3 linked regions of the Tamandua tetradactyla genome follow. The protein of the gene in region 1 interacts with the protein of each later gene in a biochemical or structural test. Links are inferred from orthologs where the notes say so. Each region holds a gene or a part of one and is shown in the gene's direction. Other genes may lie near its edges.

Evidence for each region. The genes of interacting proteins can lie anywhere in the genome.
Region 2: the proteins of MSN (region 1) and ICAM3 form a complex in vitro, tested with the Homo sapiens proteins (2 studies listed by BioGRID). The link is inferred for Tamandua tetradactyla from reciprocal best matches to the Homo sapiens genes MSN and ICAM3.
Region 3: the proteins of MSN (region 1) and SPN form a complex in vitro, tested with the Homo sapiens proteins (2 studies listed by BioGRID). The link is inferred for Tamandua tetradactyla from reciprocal best matches to the Homo sapiens genes MSN and SPN.

What each region holds. Positions count from the first base shown.
Region 1 is NC_135353.1:107,466,074-107,474,134, reverse strand, and holds the start of MSN (moesin), read left to right. Parts: upstream 1-4,790; 5' UTR 4,791-5,006; coding exon 5,007-5,018; intron 5,019-8,061. UniProt on the Homo sapiens protein: Ezrin-radixin-moesin (ERM) family protein that connects the actin cytoskeleton to the plasma membrane and thereby regulates the structure and function of specific domains of the cell cortex.
Region 2 is NC_135337.1:91,448,845-91,456,821, forward strand, and holds the start of ICAM3 (intercellular adhesion molecule 3), read left to right. Parts: upstream 1-4,754; 5' UTR 4,755-5,653; coding exon 5,654-5,732; intron 5,733-6,320; coding exon 6,321-6,587; intron 6,588-7,977. UniProt on the Homo sapiens protein: ICAM proteins are ligands for the leukocyte adhesion protein LFA-1 (integrin alpha-L/beta-2). ICAM3 is also a ligand for integrin alpha-D/beta-2. In association with integrin alpha-L/beta-2, contributes to apoptotic neutrophil phagocytosis by macrophages.
Region 3 is NC_135349.1:24,228,299-24,236,049, forward strand, and holds the start of SPN (leukosialin), read left to right. Parts: upstream 1-4,528; 5' UTR 4,529-4,642; intron 4,643-5,003; 5' UTR 5,004-5,031; coding exon 5,032-6,366; 3' UTR 6,367-7,751. UniProt on the Homo sapiens protein: Predominant cell surface sialoprotein of leukocytes which regulates multiple T-cell functions, including T-cell activation, proliferation, differentiation, trafficking and migration.

The sequences.
Region 1 (8,061 bases):
CTTTACCATCATTTAGGGTGTAAAAATCTTTTTGGATCCTGATTCTGTTATCCAAGCTATCTATTATCTCTCTCACATTCCTTGTCTTTTTCTCCTTCCTCCTGCTCCTTCCTTTTTATTGTTTTATAAAATTATAAAAGTAATCTCTGTTCACTGAAAAAAATCAAATACCAGTCATCTTTACAATACCAGTCGTCTCTCCAGAGATAACCACTGCTATCAGTTTGCTGTGTATCTTACCCCTTTCCCAGGGACTTTAAAACATATGTGTGAATGCATAGATACTTAATTCATAAATTGGATCATATTATTCATATTGTTCTGTTACTTAATAATAGATCTAAAACCTCATTTCATGGTAGCTCATTCTTTATAAAGGCTGAATAATATCCCATTATATCATTGTTTGGCTATACCATAATGTATTTACTCAATTCTCTAGGGGTGAATATGTAGGTTGTTTCCCTTATTTCATTATTACAGCACCAAGGTAAATGTCCTTACAAATACCTTTTTGTGCACAGGAGAGTGTTTCTGTGAGGTAGATTGGGAGTATAGCTGGCACAGAGTGCACATGGCCTGGGCAGGGCAGCCAGGAGGCAGGGAGACCAGGGTGGAACCTGTTGCAATAGTTCAGGCCAGAGAATGTGAGGGCTGACCTAGGGTATTGGCAATGGAGTTGGGAGAGAGAGAAGCTGAGGACAGAGAGCAGGGTTTGGTAGCCAAATGACAGGGTTCAGGCAGAGGAGAGTTAAAGATGATGATGTGCATACAGAGGACAGTGCTAACAGCAAAACCATCAACAGATATACAGCTGTTGGGAAGGAGAGCTAATAGGGAGGAAAAAGGTGTGTACCCCTTGCAGAGCCTCACATAGACCCTGGCACCAAACAGGCACACGGTCACTGCTGGACCCATGGGTTTGGGGAACAGATGGAGAGTTTCCTCCTAGGTGCATCGAGTTTAAACCGCGGACAGTTCAGGAGGGGCCATAGGCTCAGCTGGCTGTTTTCTCTCTGGGCCCTGCATGCAGACTGGCCACATATATGTGGTCAGTGGTAGGTGGAGCTGGGGCTGGGGGCCAATAACTCGATTGGGAGCCTGGGAGATCCTTTCTGGAAGACTAAGTTCACATTCCAAGAGGACACTGACTCAAACTGAATTGATATTGGCTGACTGTGGGAAACTCTTGAAAAGCTTCCAACATTATTAGAAGAAAAGCCAGAGAAAAACTCTCCTTGCTTTCATTGTGGTCCATTAGTATGATTAATAATAAATATTCCCAAGCACTTAATATTGGCAAGATGCCTTATCACTGCCATTTATTATTACCCACCTGCTACCTCAAGCCTTCTGGTTGGCCACTAAGGTGCAGGAGTGATAAGAATCTTAAAATGCCTCCCTTTCCATAGGTTTGCCTGGTCGCAGATTGACATTGGAAAGGTCACAAGTTCTTGTGATGGAAGGAAGGTGGGCTTTGGTCATAAGTCCTGTGCCCATATTCTGTCCCATCATCAGCAAACCAATATACCTTTTGGATGAGTCACTTGCTCCTCAGAACCTCAATGAACTTACTCCTACCGCTAAAGTTTCTTGTGAGGGTTAGATATTGAAATGTTCTCCCTACTGCTCAGCACTTGATACATGTGTCATTAATGCTATCTTCTCTCCTTTCCTCCAAACCCTAGCTTTTGTTTCTAAGAAGTGGGTGGAAAACTGAGGATGGTTAAAAGCAAGATTTCCCTACTGCTGCAGTTTGTGCTCTCAGTCATATTTTGCCAAGAGGGGGCCTCTTTCCTTTGGTGAGACAGAAATACATTATTTACTTATTCTCTTGTTTCTCTTGTTTGTGTAAGAGACTCAGTTAGCCAAGTGTTTGGGCTACAGCACCATGGTAAGGATGAGAAGGCATGAGTGTGCGGCCTCAGGCTGGTGTTTGACAGCATCTCTCCCTGCTACATTTCTCTCCTCTATGAATGGAAGAGGAACCTTAGAGGCTTAATTAATTCCTTCCCCAAGCATCAATCAGGAGCAGATGTGCTCTAAGTGAAGCAGAAAATATCTAATTTAGACGTGAGGAATGACTTCTAAACACTGATGAAATGAAAAGCAGCCTTCAGAGAGTCCTAAGTGATGGGGAACTTTTATCCAATGGATTGCAGGGGTGGTCTTTATTCAAAGTACACCTGGGATTCAGGATTGCGTTCCATCCAAATTCTTCTCTGGCACTGCCTCTCCTGCACTGCATCTTCTGAAGGAGGAATGTCATTTAGAATGTAGAAGCTTCTTATTGCAGTGAGCATAGATCTTGGGTGGGAACAATATATGTGGAGGTGATTACAAGTCCAATCACATTTCTCTCTTAATCTTGGCATAAGTTGTCAGACAATCAACCTTAGCAGTTAGTGCTTGCCATTCCCAGGTTTGCTGCAGCTCCAGACGATTCCAGCCCCTAAGAAATCCTAGTGCCCAGACCAAATCTTTCTCCCTTAGAGTCCCTGCCCCTCACTCAGATGTCCTTAGGTTCCTTGGACACTAGCTCAAGAATGTTTGTGTACCACCCTCTACTCATCCTAGCTTTCACCTGCCTCTTTTGCTTGAAAAAGGCTTGCCTGCCCCTCCCTGAACTTTCTGAATTCTACCCTTCTAGAAATCTGAGTCTCTTCATACATCTTACTTCCCTCTCTCAGGGCAGCCGATTTTATGTGGGCATCTTTAGGCCCTATTCCCACGTCTTTTCTCTGTAAATACTGGCATAAATTCATATCTAACCCCAGTTGGGGGGATTCCTCTGGCGCCAGGAAGATTTTTCCTGATCCTCAGTGACCCCAGTCTGAGGGAGATTGGAGTAAACAGTCTGGTAATCTATGCTTCCCTCATTTCCCACCCTTTTCCTTCCTAGGAGCCCAGATGCTATCTTTCTCTCTCGGCCCTCTTTCCCTCTTATTCTCTAGCACCCCCACCCACTAATCCACTTTTTACAGCTTTCCCTTTTAATGGTGTGTTCAGTTGCTTGGTATTTCTTAATCAGCTCCTGTGTGTGGAGGGTGGTAGTATGGGGGGTGGGGTGGGGAAGATCATACAAGTTGTTTCCAGGGTGGATCATGAAAGTTGGAGTTTCCAATCAGCTTCCCATCCATCTTTAGGCATTTAGGCTAGTACTACACCCCTGTACTCCAGGTGATCATGAATGAGGGAATCAGTGAGTTCCTTGAACTGGGAAGAGAGGCCATAGCAGTGTCAAGGAGTGTGATGGGCTACTTCTGCTTCCTCTGCTGCTGAAGCTTTTCAGGGAGTGCTTCTCTTCCTTGGGGCAACTGCTCAGCTTTAGAAGACTGTTTGGGCAGGGGACTTTGTTTTCCTTAGCACAGATCAATAAATCTTGGCAGCAGTGAGAGAAACCGAGGCCCACGACTCATGGGCACTAGTGAGCTGGGAAAGCAGAAAAGCAGGGAATAGGATTGCTGATTGTTAAGTACAAATGCAAGGCCTTCCCTTACACAACCCTGCGAGATTCATCTATTGTTCTAAGGAGTCTACTTCCTCTTTCATCCTTTATAATGTCAGAGTGGGGTAGGACCATGGAAGCCTAGGAGTCCAGCCCTTTCTTGTTACAGAAGGGGAAACTCAAGCCAGGAGAGGGGAAGGGACTTGCCCAAGGTAACACAGTGGTTACAGTGAGTCAATGGCAGAGCCATGACTAGAGCCAGATGTCCTGATCTTCACTGTACACATCACCCACCCTTCCCCAACTCAAATAACCTTTCCAGTGCCACCAAATGGCTCCTTTTCCCATCCCTGAAGGGTGTGGTGCTCTACTTCACAAAGGATACTCAGACCATGGCTCCAACCAGTTGCCAGTGGATAGGTGGAAAAAAGACACTTTCAAACGAAAATTCAGAGTTAACCATATAACCACTACAGTCTAGCTGTTCTGATATTTTGTAATCTTGACAAGAAGTAGAAAGGGAGTTGGAAGACACACCAAGGCAGTGGACTAGGGGTGTATCTAAACTAGGGGGAATTATAGCCTCCTTAGAAAGTGAATGTGTGTGTGTTGGAGGAGGGTCTAAAGGGTCAGGGTACTGATTTGAGGAATGTGGGGGGTGGGATTTGGAGGAAGGAAAGTGAATAGAGGATAATATGGGGAAAAGGAACCCAATTCTGATGAAAATGAGGACTGAAAAAGGAAGGTAAGGAAATCTGAAGGGTAAGGGTTACAGAGTTTTACAGATGAGAACGGATAAAGGATTGGAAGAGCTGAGGCAATTTAGCTAAGAGAAGAAAAGTTTCAGGGAGTCGTGGGATCCCGTCTTCAGCAGCAGGGGGTTTGTGTGACTCAAGGGAGAAAAACTGAGGCCCACTGCTAGAAGCCACGAAGAAAAGGAGTACAGAAACACACAAAGAGAGACTGTTTAAGAGTCAGGGCTCTCTTGAAAAGGAATGGGCTACCCTGGTAGGTAGTGAGTTTCCCATCAATGGAAAGTTGCTGCAGGGGTTGGTGTAAGCATCCGCTGGGGCGCGGCTCAGGGGACGGACTCCGAGTGGGGGTGGGGCCGGATAGTCCGGACCAGGAGGGTTAGGAGCGATGAGGGAGGGGTGGGAGAGGAGCAGGGTGGGCCTAGGGTGGGGGTGAGTCCTCCTGGTAGCCAAGGCTGAGCTCAGAACCCAACGTGGTTGGTGTGGCCCGGCCGGGTAGGGCTGGGTGGGCGGGGCAAGGCCGGCAGCCGATTGGAAGGCGGGCACAAGGGCGGGGAGCGGCGCGGAAGCCTGGCCACATAAAGGAGCAGGCGGCGCGACGGGGGCGGCTCTTTCCTGGGTGGGGTTTGTGCAGTCGTGGCCCGTTAGCAGGAAGCCGAGCAGTCGCTCCGACGCTACAGAGGGACCCAGTTTGAGCCCCCGGTCCTCCCCCAGCCCCCCGAGCCCGAGCCTTGTGTACTACGCGCCCAGCGCTGCCCGACAGCTCCCGGCCAAACTTCACCAACTCCTCTGCCTTAGCCACCACCATGCCCAAGACGGTGAGTGCCGGCGGTGGGCGCTGACGATCCCGGGGGCTCTAGCTGTGGTCCTTAGTTGATGGCCGGGGATTTAGCCGGCCAGCCGCCCACCTGAGACGCCGCGCGGTACTTAGTGGTCAGGGTGGGGAGAGGTCGGGAGTGGGGTACCCGTCTGGCGCGCCCTCAGGGGTGGGGGTGGGGTCTCAGTGCTAGAAGTGTGGACGGGGTTGGGCCGCCGCTTTCTCAGGTTCCAGTTCCCTGCGTTGGCAATGCGGGAGTGGCATAGGCTTCATTGAGGTTCCGGGTCTCCCCTTGCTCCTGAAGGGCTGTGGCCTGAAGGGAGAGAAGACTTGGGTCTGGAGGGGAACACTTCCTCCTCCCTAGAAATTGGTGCCTTTTTGGGGCAAGGCTGCTACTGGCCTAGAAGGGTCATGGACAGAGAAGGGGGAAGAATGGAGGAAGCTTCCCAGGGCGGATCCCTCACCCCCATTCACCTTTCCCACAGCCGCCCTCCCCTCCGCTCCCCCGGGCTACCCCAGCTGTTTCTCGCTAGGAGGGAAGGAGAGAGTTATGGAGGGACTCATAGAAGCTGCTGACTTTTACCCAGGAGCAACAGTAGTTCACTAGGCGCCATACTGAATAGAGGCCTGCGCCACGTCCTGGGGGAGAGAACTCGGTTCTCCCTCCTATTTATCCAAGAAATCCCTGCCGTTTTCATTACTTAATGCCTCCCTATCCCCTCCTGTTCCCTCAGGACTGTTCTGTGAGGTGTGGGTTCTCTCCTGCTGGGCCACACCTTTGTGGAGTGGTTGTTGCCTCAAGGATCTGATCTCCACCCCACAGGCTGTTTTGAGAAGAGCAGAAACCTTCTGGGAGTGGGGCCTAAGGGGGGCCGGATGCCCAGGAGGGAGGGGCAAGGGAGGGGTGTGCCTGACTAATGAGCCCTGCTTGCTTTTGTGCAAGTCACGCCAAATGGCTGCTGGGGCCCTTGCCTTGCTCAGGCAGGCCTGATGACCACCCTGGCTTGAGTCTCTTAGGCTAAGCAGTTTGTTGGGCTTGGCTTACTCTCCGTAAGACTGCCTGAGCCTTATAGAGTTGAGATAGTGGCCAGTAATGTTGAGAAGGGTTGAGGGCTTCTGGGCTGAGAGGAGGGATTGGAGGGCCCAGTTCTTCTGGGGTGTGCTGAGCTTTGGTTGCCACACTGCTGTGTTCCAACCTCATTGTCAGGTCTTTCTTGCCTTTCCAGAACCCTGTCCCTCAGAAACATCAAGTTTTCAACTAAGTATGCTCTTTCACCATCTCTCTTTTAAATTACTGGTGGTTTTAAGATGTGGGCTTTGCCACACTTTCGCACAAACACCTCCCCCCTTACACGTGTAAGAGAATGAAAAGAGAGGGCTTTGAAAAAGAGAGGGTAAAGAACAAAACAAGACATTTTCTCAGCCAAAACAAAGGCTTGTAAGGATCCTTCCAGGAATCTGTCTTTGGATCTACCTCTCTATGGTTGACCTGTTGACTCTTAAGGTGTTGTTTTGCCTAAAGAGTTGGGGAGTGGAGGTGGTGGTGCACAGTCTCTGGGAATAGACTGCCCCTTGGCCTCTCACCTAATGGCATCTCTCATTATCAATTCTGAGATATCCCACCAGTAAATGCAACTTGATGGGCCTGAAAGTTGTCTCAATGTTGCCTTAACCATCCCATCTTGGTCAAAAGTGACAATGAAGGCAACATGGTAATCGTTTTCCTGGGTATGGAGAGAGACTAGAGAGAGACTGGAGGCGGTGTGTCGTCAGGCCCAGCGTTCTGAAGGTAGCTGAATACTGAAGATATTTTTATGTAGGTTGACTGAAACTTGAATCAAATTGGAGGAAAAGGCTGAATTTTGATAGACTGGAAGGACTGGAGAATTTTCCATGCTGTTTGGTTTAAGGAATGGTCAACTCTTAGGAGTTATTAGAGTTATTTATCATGTCTGTTAAGACCATAGGTTCTTAATTGGAAAGGGACTTCAGAGACTATTTATCCAGTATAACCCTCTTTTTTTTTTTTTCCTCTTAACTAACGAAGATGTTTAGGCCCACAGGAAAGGGTCTATCTAAGGGCACCTGGTGACAAAGCCAAGATTGCAGGCCAGGTTTTTTCATGTTCATCCCATTGAACCCCTATTCTGACCCACTGATTGAGTTCTTGAAGTCTGAATTCCCTCTCTTACCCAAAGCTAATTGCCCCTGGTTCTTAAGGCTTCATGGTCCCCAGAAAAAAGGGCAAACTGATCAATGTTGGCATTTGTGTGGTCTCCTACTGAGAGTTGGGGGTGTTACAAGGTGTCTCCTAGTACTGGGACATTGAAGGGCACACCCTAGTCAACATAATACCAGCCAGTAACTTTAACGAAGGGGAAAAAATTCCTTATTCTTCACCCTTTCTTTATTGGTGTGCTCTAAGTTATTTCTGGAGTATGACAGATAGGGAAAAGTAGTAGAAAAAATCAAACCCTTTCATTCATATTAACCATGTCTACAGTCTTTCCAGGACTGGTTTCAGTTATACTACCAATTATCTCCTCTAGTCAGGTGAATCTCCCTTAAGTCTGTTAAAACTTGCCCTGACCCCAACTCTTGGACTCTGCTTCTGATAGCCTATTTACTGAGTCTGCTTTAGTGCCAGAATGGAGAGGCTTACTGATGTCCATTTATGCTTTATGGTGACAATTAGACATTATAGAAAAGATCTTTCCCCTTTCTTGCTCCCTTTAACTTTTTTTTTTTTAGATCAAAAAGGCCTTAGGGCTCTGTTAGATTCCCTAAAAATAGCATGTTTTGACTCATTGAGATATTCTTGTATTTTTGGTTTCATTATTTAGGGTTTATTGAACATCAGTGTTGAAAAGTCTTCTCATAACTATCAAGTCCAATCATTCTTGTTATACAGCTGGGGAAGCAGACCCACAGATAAGGACGGACTGACCTAGAGTGCTGAAATATATCAGTGGCAAAGTTAGCACTTGAATCTGGATCTTAGTTTAGAGGGTCAGTTTTGATATAAACTCTTCAGTTTTCTGGGT
Region 2 (7,977 bases), on another chromosome or scaffold:
CACAGCACCTTTTGTTGAATGCTTTTTTGTTGTTGTTGGTTGCTTTTTGGAGTGCATGGGCTGGGAATCAAACCAACCCTGGGCAGGCGAGAATTCTACCTCTAAACTACCCGCGCATCTCTATTTCTAAACAAGACATCCTTCATTCTACCGCACTTCATTTTTTTTTAATTTATTAATTTTTAAAAATTTTAACAACAAACAAATTAAAACATTGACATCACTCCGTTCTACACTGTTCTAGTTTGCTAGCTGCTGGAATGCAACACACCAGAGACGGATTGGCTTTTAATAAAAGGGGATTTATTTTGTTGGTTCTTCAGAGGAAAGGCAGCTAACTTTCCACTGAGGTTCTTTCTTACGTGGAAGGCACAGGATGGTCTCTGCTGGCCTTCTCTCCAGGCCCCTGGGTTCCAACAACTTTCCCTGGGGTGACTTCTTTCTGCATCTCCAAAGGCCTGGGCTGAGCTGCGAGTGCTGAGATGAGGAATGCAGAGCTGCTTAGGCTGTGCTACATTGCGTTCTCCCATTTAAGCACCAGCCAATTAAGTCAAACGTCACTCATTGCAGCAGACACGCCTCCTAGCCCACTGCAGATATAATTAGCAACAGATGAGGTTCACGTACCATTGGCTTGCTTGTGTCCACAGCAACAAAACTAGGTATGCGCACCTGGCCAAGTTGACAACTGAATCTAACTAACACATACATATATAATCAGTAATTCATAATATCACCACATAGTTGCATATTCATCATTTCTTAGAATATTTACTGTACTTCATTTTACTGTGCTTCGTAGATACTGTTTTTTTTACAACCTGAAGTTTTTGGGGCAATCCTGCATCAAGCAAGTGTATTGGTGCCAACTTTCTTCCCTTTATTTTTTTGAAAGCAGTTTTTTCGCGATAAATACACATGCCGTACAATCCATCTAAAGTACAGAATTGCTGTCTTCTAGTATCTTTGCAAAGTCGTGCACACATCGCCACAATTAATTCTAGAACAATTTCGCCCTGAAGAGGGTTTGCTATGTTATACATCCTATGTGTCACGCTCTGGCTTTCCTTCTAAACTTTTCCTTTCAGCTGTACCCACCTATCCTTCGTCTTAGATACACTCCTTATAACGTGCTCCCATCACCTCCATCCATTCCCAAACATTCCCAATCAACCTTACTACAGATTCTGCACAAATTAAGCATCAGCTGCCCATTTTCTGCCCTCATTCTGTCTTCTGGTGACCTATTTTCTATATATCAACACCATGCGTTTGCTAGTTATATTTAGTTCCTATCAGGGAGATCACACACTGCGTCTGACTTCTTTCACTCAAGATAATATCCTTGAAGTTCATCCATGTTGTCACATGCTTAAGTCATGTCATCAAGACTTAATTTCTTCTTACAGCAGCATGATATTCCATCATATGTGTATACCACATTTTGTTTGTCCATTCGTTGTTTGATGGAACCTGGATTGTTTCCCTCTTTTGACGATTGTGAATAATGCCGCTTTGAACATTGTATGCCAATGTCTGTTTGCTACTCTGTTCTAGTTTCTCTCTCATCTGGAAGGGCACATGGTGAACCCGGCATTGACTGCTAGCTTTCTCTCCTGGTTTTCCTGTTTCATGAAGCTCCCTGAGATGTGTTTTCCTTCTTCATTTCCAAACGCTGGTGGATAATGCTTCTCGTGGCTGTGTCGTTCTGCTCTGCTCTCTCTGAATCTCCTTTCTCCAAAATATTTCCTCTTTTATAGGATTCCAGTAAACTAATCAAGACCCACCCAAATGGGTGGAGACACGCCTCCACCTACTCCAGCTTACAACCACTTTTGATTAAATCACATCTCCAGAGAGAAGATCTAATTACAGTTTCAGACATACAATACTGAATAGGGATTAGAAGAAACGGCTGCCTTTACAAAATGGGATTAGGTTGAAAACATGGCTTTTCTAGGGTACATACATTTCAAACTAGCGCAGATCCTGCTTTCAGTTCTTCTGAGGTAGATACCTACCTAGTAGCTGGAATGCCAGATCATATGGCAGTTCTATACTTAGAGTCCTAAGGAACTGTTATCTGAGCCTTTTTTCCAACAGCATGTGCTCACTTTGTGTCTCTCTGTCACATTTTAATTAAGATATATACAATGTTTTTTTTTTTTTAGAGCTAATGCTATAGTGCCCTTAAACCCTACAGTCTAGTGTAGAGGTAGCTTTTATGTGCACTGGAAAACAAAAAAATTTTGTGTCTCACTTCATTGCAATATTCTTTTTATTCTAGACCAAGGCCCAGTAGCTCCTGTAAATCATGTTCATGGGTTTGGGGAACTAGGACTTCATCTGTTTGTGGCACACAATTCAACCCACGTCATCATGCAATATCCTGTTGGGGCTTCTCTGGGATGGCATTTGCCTTGTCATTTCATTAGAAAAGCCCTAACGTTTTGTAGTTTTGAGTAGCATTTTCCCACCTGATTGGGACCAGGGTGGCTTCATCTGTAAAACGGAAAAAACGAGGGGACTTTGTGGGCTTAGGGGGGAGGGTTAGAAGCTCTGCGTGCATATTAAAGTGCTTAATCATGCCAGGCTAGGAGGGAGAGTCATCATCATCGTGTTCCTGCTGAGGACGGGATGAAGACTGCTGCAGCCCTTAGGTCAGTGAGACAAGAATCCCACCCACCTACAGTGTCCACCTGAGATGCAAGCTACACCTGAGACACAAGCTGCACCTGACATGCAAGCTGCACTTAGGATGCAAATTCTACCTGGGATGCAAACTACATCTGGATGCAAACTACACCTGGACATGAGCTACACCTGTATGCAAACAACACCTGGGACACAAGCTACACCTGGGATGCAAACTACATCTGGATGCAAGCTACACCTGGACATGAGCTACACCTGGATGCAAGCCTCCCCTGTATGCAAACAAGGCCTGGGAGGCAAGCTACACCTGGGCTGCACCCCGAGGGCTCAAGCTTAGAGCTGCGCGTGTGTTCTTTTGCTTCAGGTGCCTGGTTCCTCCCATGCCTCTAGGAGGCAGGGCCTCTGAACATCCCCACTTTAGAGACAACGAAACTCAAGGTTCCAAGCACAGCCTGACACAAAATCACAGCTAATAAACCACTTCACATCTTCACATGGCTTCTGGGTGTGAGGGACACCCCTCAGCTCAGACGTCAGCCTTTAATGTCAGGTCTCTGGGCCCCCACTGAGGTGAGCAGAGATGGGCTGGGACTGTCATCGCCTCTGCCTTCTGGAAACTTGGCTGCCGCTGCCACCCCCACTTCCTCCCGGGATACCCCACTTCTCCGTCCACTCCCCCTTGGCCCGGGAGCGTGGGGCATTGACCTGGTGTGACCTGACTCATCTGCAAGGCAAGGACAGGAGCACAGAGGGAATGGATCATCTGTCCCCTTTATCAACCGGCGTTTTGTCTCTTCTGCCACTCTCCAACGGGACAACGTAACCAGGAGTCCATGGGAGCCTGGGAGGGCCCCACAGAAGGATTCCAGGGGCCACAAACCCTCGAGCCTCCCGTACCCAATCTCCATGTGCATCCATTCAACAAATATTTGTTGAGCACTGTTTTAGTTTCCTAGGCTGCTTAAAGCAAATACCGTGAAATGGTTCAGCACGAGCAATGGGAATGTATTAGCTTACAGTTTGAGGCCAAGAACATATCCAAATCAAGGCGATGCTTTCTTCTCAAAGGCTGCTGCTGGTGACCCTTGGCTCCTCTGTCACCTGGCAGGGCACATCGTGGTGTCCGCTGGGTCCTCCCTTCTTTCCGGGTTTCATTGACTTCAGCTTCTTGCATCTATGTCTCTCTCACTCTCTCCATTCCATTTATAAAGGACTCCAGCAAGAGGTTTAAGACCCATCCTGATGATATTGCGAGCCATTGATTGTATACTTCACACTTTGGATGGATTGTACGGTGAGTGAAGATATCTCAACAAAAATTAAAAAGACAAACACTGGGGAAAAAAGATGCATCCTGAAAGAGGTGGCTCATGCCTGAACTGAAGCAGCCTCATCAGAAGATCCTACTTACAATGGGCTCACACCCACAGGCATGGAGTAAGTATAGGAACATGCTTTTCTGGGGTACAGAAAACCACACGAACACGGGCCATGGGCCTGGCGTGGTTTGAGTCACTGGGACACAGCTGTGAACTAGACAAAGCTTCCTCCCTTATGTTCTCAAGATTCGATGAACTGCAAGACGAAACCAGTGAGAAAATTTTAAGTACATAAGTCGATGACTTCTGGGGGGAAAACTAAAGTCAGAGTGTGAAATGGGAGACCAGGGAAGGCCTTGCTAAGGTGCCATCAGAGCAGGCAGAGGGGAAGGAGGAAGCCAGGTGGATGTGTAAAGGAAGAGTGGCCCAGGCAGAGGGAACAGCCCATGCAAAGGTCCTGAGGCAGAGATGTGCTGGGTGGGATTGAGGCCCAGCATAGAGGCCAGCGTGGCTGGAGCAGAGAGAGGGAAGGGGAGGCGGGGAGGAGCTGAGGTCAGCGGGGATAGGAGCAGGTAGGGGCCAGATGAATACTCTGCTTTAATTTGGCTTGGGAGTTGCTGGAAGGTGTTAAGTAGAGGGGGTGCTGAGATTGGATTGGGATTTGAGTTGCTCCCTCAATACCATGTGGAATTGTTTGGGCTTGGGGTGGGGGTGGGGATCCTCCAGGTGGGAGAGGGGGTGGGGTGAAGCTTTAGGGATGGGGAGAATGGATGAAGCTGGGGCACCATCAAAGCTATCAACCAAGTCTGTTTTATGGAGCTCGGAGGCAGGATAAGACGCCCCAGAGATGGAAGCGCAGGTGGAGGGGGTCTGCCCACCTGGCCCCTCGGCCCCTTCTCTTGGAGCGAAGAGACCAGCTGTCTGGAGGGAAGGGTGATGAGGGGGACCGGGCAGGGGTGAAGGCCAGTTACAAGCAGCATCCTCAAGACCCAGGGGCCCCGGTCTCGGCCATTGTCAAGGAAAGGGCCCTGCAGGAAGCCAAAGCGGGGCTGGCTGCTCAACCCAGCTCCTGGCACCAAGCCAGCACTCAATCCCCATGGGCTCTGTTCATTTTTTAGGGCTCTTTCTAGGGGATCCCTTATTATCACCCCAAAACCTCTTCTCTGATCACCAGGAACGCTGAGATCTCACACTAACCCCTGGAGGCCATGCCTTGAACTCCTTCTTGAAATACCACCTGATCAGCTCAAAGTCATTTGCGTAGAGCTTCCCACTGACTTCCTCTCTGGGGGCACAGCGCCTCGTGCCCAAGGTTCAGCGGGAAGGCGGGGTCCCTTCCCCTCCAACTTCCCTCGCCGCTGGGGTCCTTAGTACTGAGAACAGAGGAAGACGGTTGGGTTTGCGCTTCCTGTGTGTTCATTTAGGGGACCGCAGAGCTACTGGGACCGGCTCTGTCGGGGACTCACCAGCACCCACCGCCTCGCAGGGCCCCCCCGAGCTGTCCCCTGCAGGCCAGGACCCCCAACCCGAGGCCGCAGAGCCTCCCGCTGCCCCTTCCCCAGGCCTGGCCAAGGTGTGGCCCCTGGATTTCTGCAATCTTAACCGCCGTACTTCCGTCCCTTGGGCGGCCCCACCCCTGCCCCCTACGCCACCTTCCTGTGTGCCACGGGCTGGCCACCATGGTGCCCTCGGGGATGCTGCCTGCGGCCCACCAGGTTCTGTTTGTCTTCGCGCTGCTGGCCTGCCTGCTGCCCCCAGGTGAGCTGGGGTGGGTTGGGGCAGGGTTGGTGGGAAATGGGGGAGCAGAGAAAGCCAAGCTCCCCCACATTCACTGGCCTGGCTGCTTCGCACCTTTCTTTGAACTCAGATCTGACAGAGGGCTCCCCGGTGTCCTCGGGAGGAAGTTGTGCATCCTTAACTCAGGCTCCAGGGCATCCCGGGGCCCCGACCCTGCACATAGTTTGCGTTCTCTTGTTCATCTCCCCACCCATCCACCCACGACTCCCCTGTTCTGTTGGGAACCCCAGCCTTTGCCTATGCTATTCCTCTGCCAGAAACGCTCTTCCCTTTCATTTGGTGAACTCCTATTCACCCTTCAAAACACATTGTAGTTGCCCCCTCTTCTCCAAGAAGCTTTTCCTGACTCACACCCCACTTGGGACTGGATCAGGGCCTCCCCTGGAGTCTCCCCACCCCTGATCAATCATCTGTCCTCCCCCATGGAGGGCAGGCGTCCTTCTGGTGGGGCTCCCCTTTAGATCCCAGAATGAGGAGGTGCTGAATGGTGAGGGGGTGGGGTGGGGGAAGTCAGGGGAGCAACCAACCGAGCTTTCCCGGGTCTCACAGGCATCTGGGGACAGGCATTCTCGCTGTGGGTGGAGCCCCAAGAGCCGCTGGTGCCCCCCCGCGGGTCCCTGCTGGTAAACTGCAGCACCAACTGCCCCGGCACCCCCCACATCACCCTGGAGACGTCCTTGGACAAGGAGCTGCAGGGCCGCGGCGCCAGCTGGGTGGCCTTCTGGCTGCACAAGGTGACTGATGACAGTCGGGTCCTGTGTGCCGTGTCTTGCCACGGCTCCCAGATGTCAAGCTCCACCAACATCACCGTGTACCGTGAGTGGAGTGGCCACGGGCAGTGGGGAGGGGGCGGGCCTGGGGAGGTCACGTCGGTGGGACTAGACTGCCAGCCCTGGACAGACAGGGGGGACACATCTCAACCACATGCTAAGGACAGCAGTGCTGACAGCAGTTTGTCTGGGGTCCCGATAAGCATTTTTACAATGGCATCTCAGGTAATTTATTTATTACTTTAATTTTTATGCTAGGTAATTCGTGTGCAAAAAGTATAAAAAAAAAATGGTGCAAACGCAAAATCTACATTTACCTAATGCTGATGACCAGAGGGCTCTCTTCTAAGCGCTTCACCCCTAGTTGCTCACTCAGCCCGTACAGAAGTCCCCAGCAGAGAGGTGCAGGCATGACCCTCGTTTTGCAGGTGGGGAAACTGAGGCTCGGTGGGGAGAAGCCACTAGTCAGGGTTCCCAGCCCATGAGGTGAGAAGCTGAAAGTCTGGTTCCTTTAACATTTTTTTATTGCGAAATATAACATATACAAAAAAAAATACATTTCCAAGAACATCGCAACAATGTGTTGTAGAACAGATTTCAAAGTTTGGTATGGGTTACAATTCCACAATTTTAGGTTTTTATTTCTAGCTGCTCTAAGATACTCGAGACTAAAAGAAAGATCAGTATAGTGATTCAGCAATCATACTCGTTAATTAAACCCTACCTTCTGGGTGGGCCACGGTGGCTCAGAAGGCAGAGTTCTCACCTGCCATGCTAGAGACCCAGGTTTGATTCCTGGTGTCTGCCCACGCAAAAAACAAAACAAAACAAACCAAAAAAAACCCCTACCTTCTCTGTATAACTCCACCATTACCTTTGATCTTTTTCCCACTCCTTAGGGGTATTTGGGCAATGCCCATTCTAACTTTTTCATGTTGGAAGAGGCTGTCGATAATATGGGGTAGGGAGATGGAACTAGCTGATGTTCTGGAGAGGCTGGGCCCTCTAGGTTTCAGGACTTATCTGGTCCAGGGACCCATCTGGAGGTTGTAGGTTTCTGGAAAGCTAACTTAGTGCATGGAATCCTCGTGGAATCTTATACATTGCCCTAGGTGTTCTTTAAGATTGGCTGGAATGGTTTGGGTTGGGGGTCGGCAAGCTATGGTAGCCGCAAGGTCTAACTGCAGCTTGCATAAGAGTAACCTCCAGAGTAGCCTCTCGACTCTATTTGAACTCTCTCTGCCACGGGTACCTTATTTTGTTACACTTCTTTTCCCCCTTTTGGTCGGTATGGAATTGTTGATCCCACGCTGCCAGGGAGACTTCCAAGTCCCCACTCTTAAAGGTGGGGTCTTCCTCCCTCAACCCTCCACCCCCATGACCAGTTTCTTCTGAACCTTCCGGAGTTTCTCTGCATTTTAAAAAACAGGACAGAC
Region 3 (7,751 bases), on another chromosome or scaffold:
GATGAATATGCAACTATGTGAGGATATTGTGAATTACTGATTATATATGTAGAGTGGAATGATCAAAAGTTAAAAACGTTTGCGTTTGTTAAATTTTTTTAAAAAATTTTAAAAATTAATTTAAAAAATACTGCTATTAGCCATTTAAAAAAATGTGTGCGGAGGTGACACATATGTGACATCAACTTTCCCGGTTTTAACCCCTTTCAAATATACAATTCACTAGGGAATGGGGAGTTAACAATGGGTACAGAGTTTCTGTTTACGGTGACGGAAAAGGTTTGCTAATGGATGACAGTGAAGGTAGCACCACATTGCAGGCGGAATTAATGCCACTTAATTGTACAGTCAATAATGGTAAAATCGTACATTTTTACTTATTTACTTTATGAGACCGCAATAAAATAAAATAAAATAAAAAGATCCAGAAAGGGCCACAGTGGCTCATGCAGGCAGAGCTCTTGCCCGCCATGCCAGAGACCTGGGTTCCATTCCTGGGGCCTGCCCATGCAGAAAAAAAAAAAAAAAGATCCAGAGAGGAAAGGGCTGGCTTGCAGAGGCCCACAAGTGAGGGGAGAACACTGTGAAAAGAGATTGGGGAACAACAATTTCGGGGTATATACCTAGAAGGGGGATGGCTTGGTCATGTGGTAATTCTATACTTAACTTTCTGAGGAACCGACAAACTGCGCTAAACATAGCAGCTATGTTTTTTCCATAGCAGCTGCATCATTTTACATTCCCACCAATGCATCATTCATTTATTTCCTTATTAGAGGATTTGTAGGTTCACAGAAAAACCATGCATAAAATACAGAGTTCCACGTACCACCTTGTTATCAGCACTATGTATTAGGGTATATGTTTGTTACAATTCCGGAAATAATATTTGTAGAATGGCACAATTAAATTAACTGCACTCCATCCATTGCGATAGGATTCGCTGTGTTGTACAGTCCTATGTTATTTTTGTTTTTATTTTAGTAATATATAGACAACCTAAAATTTCCCCTTTTAACCACATTATACATATATAATTCAGGGTTGTTAATTTCGTCCACAAAGTTGTGCTCCCCCCGCCACTATTCATTACCAATACTTTATGATCAACCCAAATAGAAACTTTGTACAATTTAAGTGTTAACTCCCCATTCTCTCCCCTCAACAATTCCGCTGGTAACCTAGATTCTAGATTCTGACTCCATGAGTTTGCTTATTCTGAATACTTCATATCAGTGAGATCAGACAATATGGGCCTTTTATATTTGGCTGGTTTCACTTAACATGGTGTCTTCAGAGGTTCGTTATGTATCAGAACTTCCTTCTTTTTTTTTAGGGCTGAATAATACTTCACCACATGGACAGACCATATTTTGTTTGTCTGTTCATCTGTCAGAGGATGCTTGGGTTGCTTCCACCTTTTGGCTATTGTGAATAATGCTGTTGTGAACACTGGTATGCAAATATCTGTTCGAGTCTCTGCTTTCAGTTCTTTTGGGTGTATACCTAGAAGTAGGATGGCCCAGTCATGTGGTAGTGGTAGTCATGTGGTCATGTGGTAGTTAAGTCACTTAACTTTCTTCTGGAACCACTGAACTGTTTTCCACAGCAGCTGCACCATTTTACATCCCCGCCAACGCATCCTTCGTTTCGATGGGCAGTGTCCCTGCTTTGGTCAGTGGAAACCACCTTTAGCTGGTTCCGTGTCCTTTTGACATGCTCCCATCATTCCTTGTGCACTTCCGTACTTTCTGGTACAACAAGATGTTCCAGGCTCATCTGGGACTTTCCCTGGAAAGTACCTTTTCTCCAAGGAACCCTGATTCCTTTTTCAAGGGGAATGGTATTTAGAAGCCAAATCAGGGTGTCAGGTGCTGGCTCCATTTTGAAAGTAGACCTAGTAAGATTTGCAGGTGGGTTGGTTGTGGAGTGTAAGAAAAAGAGAGGACATATCAATTTGAGCTTTTTCAAGATCCAGTTGAAATACCACTTTTCTGAAGTCTTCCTAGCCATCTCCGCAGCTGAATCTAGTGCCTATTTTAGCCAATATTATATTATTTGAATGATTTATCCGCAAGGGTGTCTCTAAATGCAGCACAATAATTAAGTAGCAGCCTCTGGTGCCACAGGGGAGACCCCGCGTCTTTAGCCTTTGGCTACACCTGGCTTTAAATCTCATCTTTTGAACTTACTGGTGGTAGGAATGTGGGCAGGTCTCTTAACCGTTTTGCTTCTCAGATTTGTTTCTCAGTTTCTTCACCTGTAAAATGAGAACTAGGCGATGTAGAAGAGGAGATAGGAGGCGGGGTGGTGGTTTTCTTTGAATCCACAGGGTGGGGCAGGGGATAGGAAACGCTCTATAAATATAAAGTGCTTGGCCGTGAGCCTGGCCTGTTGTAAATGCCTCTGGCAGCTTACTTATCCTCTTTGCACCTCAGTTTCCTCATCTGTAAAATGGTTCAGTGTGAGACACAACAGGAAGTATTCTGGTGAACAGTGAGTGTGGGCTCATGGCAGCTGCTGGCATTTTCTCAGGATTGCTTCCCTGTGTTGCCTTGAGAGTAATGGCCGCCTCTTGTTTATATTTTCATCATCTTTAGTCTGTCCTGGTCAGACCCTATTTCTTGACCTCTGTAGGTTAGACCCTGGACTGTCCCCATTCTCTTAGCTTTCCCCAGAATGGATGCCTGAGGCACAGTGGGGGGAACTAACAATTTGGTCAGCAGTGATTCGGTTGAAATGACAAGCTTGGCAAAAATGAAGTCTGCCTCCGTGATTTTTTTTTTTTTTTTTTTTGATATTGGAACTCTTTGTGCATTCTGACAAATATCTTCACCTGTTTTCTAGAATTCAATTTTTTAAAACTCATGCTTTCCTGCTTTTCTGTTTGCATTGGCAAAATATTGGAAAAGTCAATAGGTCTGACCGTGAGATGGTATCTTTTCTTTCATCTTTTTTTTTTTTTCCAGCAATACATGCTCATTATAGAAAGATGAGCATGAATATTCACTACACACTGCTAGTGAAATATTCAAAACAATGTAAATGTTCATCAGTAGGGATTACTTAATTAAATTGTGGTGTGTTCTATGGAATAGTACGCAGCTGTTTTATGCATAGAGATATGTAAATATGTCCCCAAACTGTTGTTCACTAGAAAAGTGCAGGGCAGCACATATGATAAAGTCATATTCATATATATAAATGACATACATGGATGATTGTGCAAACACAGATACTGTCACAAGTGTTTAAGCAGTGGTGTTGGGTATGGATCCTTTCTGCTTTATACCTTTCCCACTTTTGGGAGAAACCATCCAGTATGGGCCCTGAGTATCCCTCCCTGTTCTTTCTGGGCATGGCAAGGAAGCTTTTTACTCAGTTCCATTTCTCAGAGTTGTGTTTTCAGTGAGCCTCCCTGAGGGATGAAGTGTTATCTTCTTCCAGGACAAAGAGTAGGCTTGCTTACTGCCTGCTATAAAAGAGTGGTACCCCCCCAAACTCCATGTTCCCCAGATGCAATGCAAACCCACTGAGTGCAAGGCAGCAATCCGAGCCCCTCTGCGTCACTCCCGTGGGACTTGCGAGTGAGAGGAGCTGATGCGAATGTCCTGCTCATATCGCTTACTGTGCTGTGAGTAGTAAACTCCTGTGTCTCTGACCCTGGAGTCTCATATCTTTGGGTCACACTAACTTGTTGGCTTGTTAGTAGAGGACAATCCCAGACTCTACGGTTTCTTGCTTCAATGTCCTATATATACATGTGTCACTTTTATAATATAAACATCAGTATTGAGTGTGTAAGAAAAGAAAGGCAAAAAGCAAAAACATACGCATACCAAAAGTCAAAGCATACTAATTAGAGGAAAGTTAAGAAAACAGAAACCAGCCAAAGAAGACAATAAAGAACCTCCTACTTATATCTATCCAAAGACAACTTGATAAAATCTCAGTAGACATCTTTCTGGATCATTTTCCATTTAAATTCCCACGTCTCTGTTATTATTCTACAAAAAATATGACCACAGCATATGCAGTGCTGGGTTAATACCTTGTTTACTTAAGCAGCCCATGACTGAGGACCATTGGACTGACCCCTAGCTCCTTGTAATGAACCCAAGAACTAGCCAGGAACACATGGAGCTGCAAAGGCTTTCACTGCCCCCAGCCAGGGTTGGGGATTCCCCTTGCCCTGGTATTTCCTGGGAGCTCTTTGGGCAGGAAATGGCAGGCCCTGGCCTAGCAGTTCGGGGACCACAAAAGCAAAGAAAACCACCCTTCCCTCCTACCTCCTCCCTTGCACCCCTAACTCCTAAGCATGCACTCCCATTACCTGACCCCATCCCTACTCCAGCTCCACCCTTTGCCATTCTAATCCTCAGCCAAGACCCAGGAATCTCCATTCCTATTTCTGAGACCCCAGAACCCTCAGGCCCCACCTCAGACCCCAGAAAGAGTAGGTGATGGTGCTTTCAATGCAGAGCAGCTGCAGGAGAGGGCGGGTCAGGATGCAGGGGTGGGTGTGGGTGGAGCCCGCACTACTTCCTTTCCCCTAGAGGCCTTGTCAGCCCCAGTCCTGCCCCAACCTCCAGAAGAGTTGCAGTGTCCTGGCCCCGGCCCTGTGCCCTCATCATCTGAGCTGGTAAGGGGGTGCGACCTGGGGGGCTGGAGCTTCAGCGCACCTGGGAATGTGCCTCTGGCATGCAAGGATCCTGATGGGCAATGGGGCCAGACAGGGTCCGGGAAGGCCAGGAGATGGTGGCCATTGCTGGGGTCTGAACTGCTAAGGCCTTCGGGGCCTATGGGGTGGTGCTCGTGGGGAGCTGCCAGCATCTGTTCCCTTGCTATTTCTGATAATAGTAAAAGCAAGAGTGGAAAAAGCCGTTAAACCACAAGTTGGGCCTGGCAGTTGGCAGGGAAGTGGGTAGGAGAGGAGGGCCTGGCTAGCCCCCACTCCAGCTCCTTCTGTGTGTTCTCTTTCTCCAACTCCACCCCCCACTCAGGTTCCAAACCCTGCTCCTGCCTGTTGCAATGGAAATGGCCCTGCTTCTCCTCCTCTTTGGAGGCTCCTGGGTCCAGGTCATAAGCATGGAAGCACATTCTCTGGGAAGCACATCTGCACGGGGAGCTTTTGCCAACATCTCAGATAGCACTGTGACCTCCAACTCTTCAATGATAATGGACCCGCAGAAGGTTGGCAGCCCTGGGGACCTTAGCTCAACCCCAGCTTCCTCAGCTTCCTTTATAGCCAGTGAGAACCTTGGCACTGCCTCTCCTGAACCTGGGTCAGCAACCTTCCAAGAAGTTTCCACTAAGCAGCCATCAATCGTCCCAGAAATCTCTAATACAACCAATGACTCTGCTGTCCCTGGAACCATGATTTCTCTGGGGACCCATACTGAGACTAGTGAAACTATGACAAGTGGTGCTCTGGAGAAATTCAATGGGACGAGTGGACCCCCTGTCACCATAACAACTAGTTCTCTGGAGACCTCCAATGTGACTGGTGGACCCTTTGTCACCATGGCAACTACCTCTCTGGAGACCTCCAAAGGAAGGAGTGGACCCCCTGTCACCATGGCACCTACCTCTCTGGAGACCTCCAGTGCAACTGGCGGACCCCTTGTCTCCATGGCAACTACCTCTCTGGAGACCTCCAGTGTAACTGGTGGACCCTCTGCTACCATGGCAACTACCTCTCTGGAGACCTCCAGTGCAACTGGCAGACCCCTTGTCTCCATGGCAACTACCTCTCTGGAGATCTTCAGCGGGAGGAGTGGACCCCCTGTCACCATGACCACTAGCCACCCAGAGACCAGGACCAGCAGCTCTCCTGTCTCTGGGATAGAAGTACCGGCTATGGCCACCTCAGAGGCCTCCATGGACTCAACCACCAGTGGCTCCCTAAGTTCAGATCAGGGGATGAACGGCTCCCTGCTGGTGGCTGTGCTTGTGGCCCTGCTGGTGGTCGGGGTCCTTGTGGCACTGCTTCTGCTGTGGCGCCAGCGGCAGAAGCGGCGGACGGGGGCGCTGACGCTGAACAGGGCTGGGAAGCGCAATGGGGTGGTGGATGCCTGGGCGGGGCCAGCCCACATTCCTGATGAGGAGGCTGTGATAGCCACAGGGGGAGAGCCCGGGGGTGACAAGGGCTCTGGGGTCCCCCCCGCGGAGGGCACTGGCCGAAGGCCCACGCTCACCACTTTCTTTGGCAGACGGAAGTCTCATCGGGACTCCGTGGCTCTGGAGGAGCTGCAGGCTGGGTCGGCCCCCAGCCCAAAGGGAGAGGAAGAGCCGCTGGTGGGCAGAGAGGATGAGGCCTCTGATGGGCCAGAAATAGGAGATGGGAATGCCCTTCAGAGTTTGTGAATAGCAGGAGTGGGGTCAAATTCATTTCCAGCTTTTATCACCTTCCTCCTGCCATCACCTCCAACCTAATCCTCACCCAGCGTGTTCAAAACCAGCACCGTCCCCTGACTCTTCATCCAGCTCCTCCACCCTGGATCTCCCACCAGCATCCTCACCCTGCGTCTTTACCCTGTGTCCTCACCCAGCTTCCTCACCCTGTGTCCTCACCCAGCCTCCTCATCCAGCCTCCTCACCCACCACCTGCATCTGGCACCTCATCAGGGCCTTCACTCAAGGAACATCATTTGTGGACTGAATGAATAAACCTTCTTCACCACTTCCTACTTCTTCTCCCCATCCCTCTCACTACCCCTACACCATCTCTTTCTCTCTCTTTTGCCTTTTGTCCTTGGAACGGCTGCTGAGTCTCCATAATGCCAAACTTACTCCATCTAGGATTTCTTGGACAATTCCTAAGGGGATATCAGAGTCTAGGAAGAAGAAGCAAAGGACATCCTAGTAAACTCCCACCTGGGATTAATTTTGTAGATTATACTTGACCCCAGAGATTCAAAGGACCTCCCTGGCCCTGGGTCAGCCTGGGAACCTACTCTAAGTTTGGGGTCCAGTCTTTGGTGTCAGCTGGGTGGGGCCATCCAGCTGTGTGCTCAGGTGTGCCTGTGACCTTCCCCAGAGAACCTGGACTCGAGGCTGGCCCATGGCCCATCCCGCCACATGGATTGAGATAGCAGAGGCTTGGGGACTTCCTCTTCTCCAGGGCAGAGGTGAGAAGTTTCTGGGCAAGTGTAGTTTTCAGAAAACCCAGCATCTGCGTAAGTTCATTCCTGGATGCAGTTTGTGTGCAAGAAGTGAGGGTTTGGAGGGTTTTGTGATGCGTTGGTGGATATGAACTGAGTGAGGGAGGGCTGCCGGAAGGAGTGCAGAAACTGAGGGCTAGCCAGTCAGAGGCGGGAAACACAGGAACTGCTGAGAACATATGTGCCCTTATTTTGGCTTGGGTGGGGTGGAGGGAGCAAACTTAACTGTGTAGCCCAATAGAGAATGCTTGACTTGCTAGAAAGACCACATGGCAAGAGGAGAAGAGCCTGGGGGCCTGGGGGCAGACAAATTTTGTTGTCCCTCTAAACCTAGTGGTCTTTGCTGACCCACCCCTCTCTGCTTGTCTGTTTGTCCGTATGTCCTCTGAGCGTCTCCCCTTCTCCAGGAGGAATCAGTGAGAGTGAGTCAAATAAGGAGAGGTGACAGGCAGCTGGAACAACACAGAACCTTCCTGCGTGTGTCTGGGATGGAGAGGAGGGGACAAGTTCCGATTGTGTTGTCTCTAGGATCAGTCCAGGCTGGAACCCAGGGGAGTATGTGGGTCACAGGCGGTTGATATTTCCCCA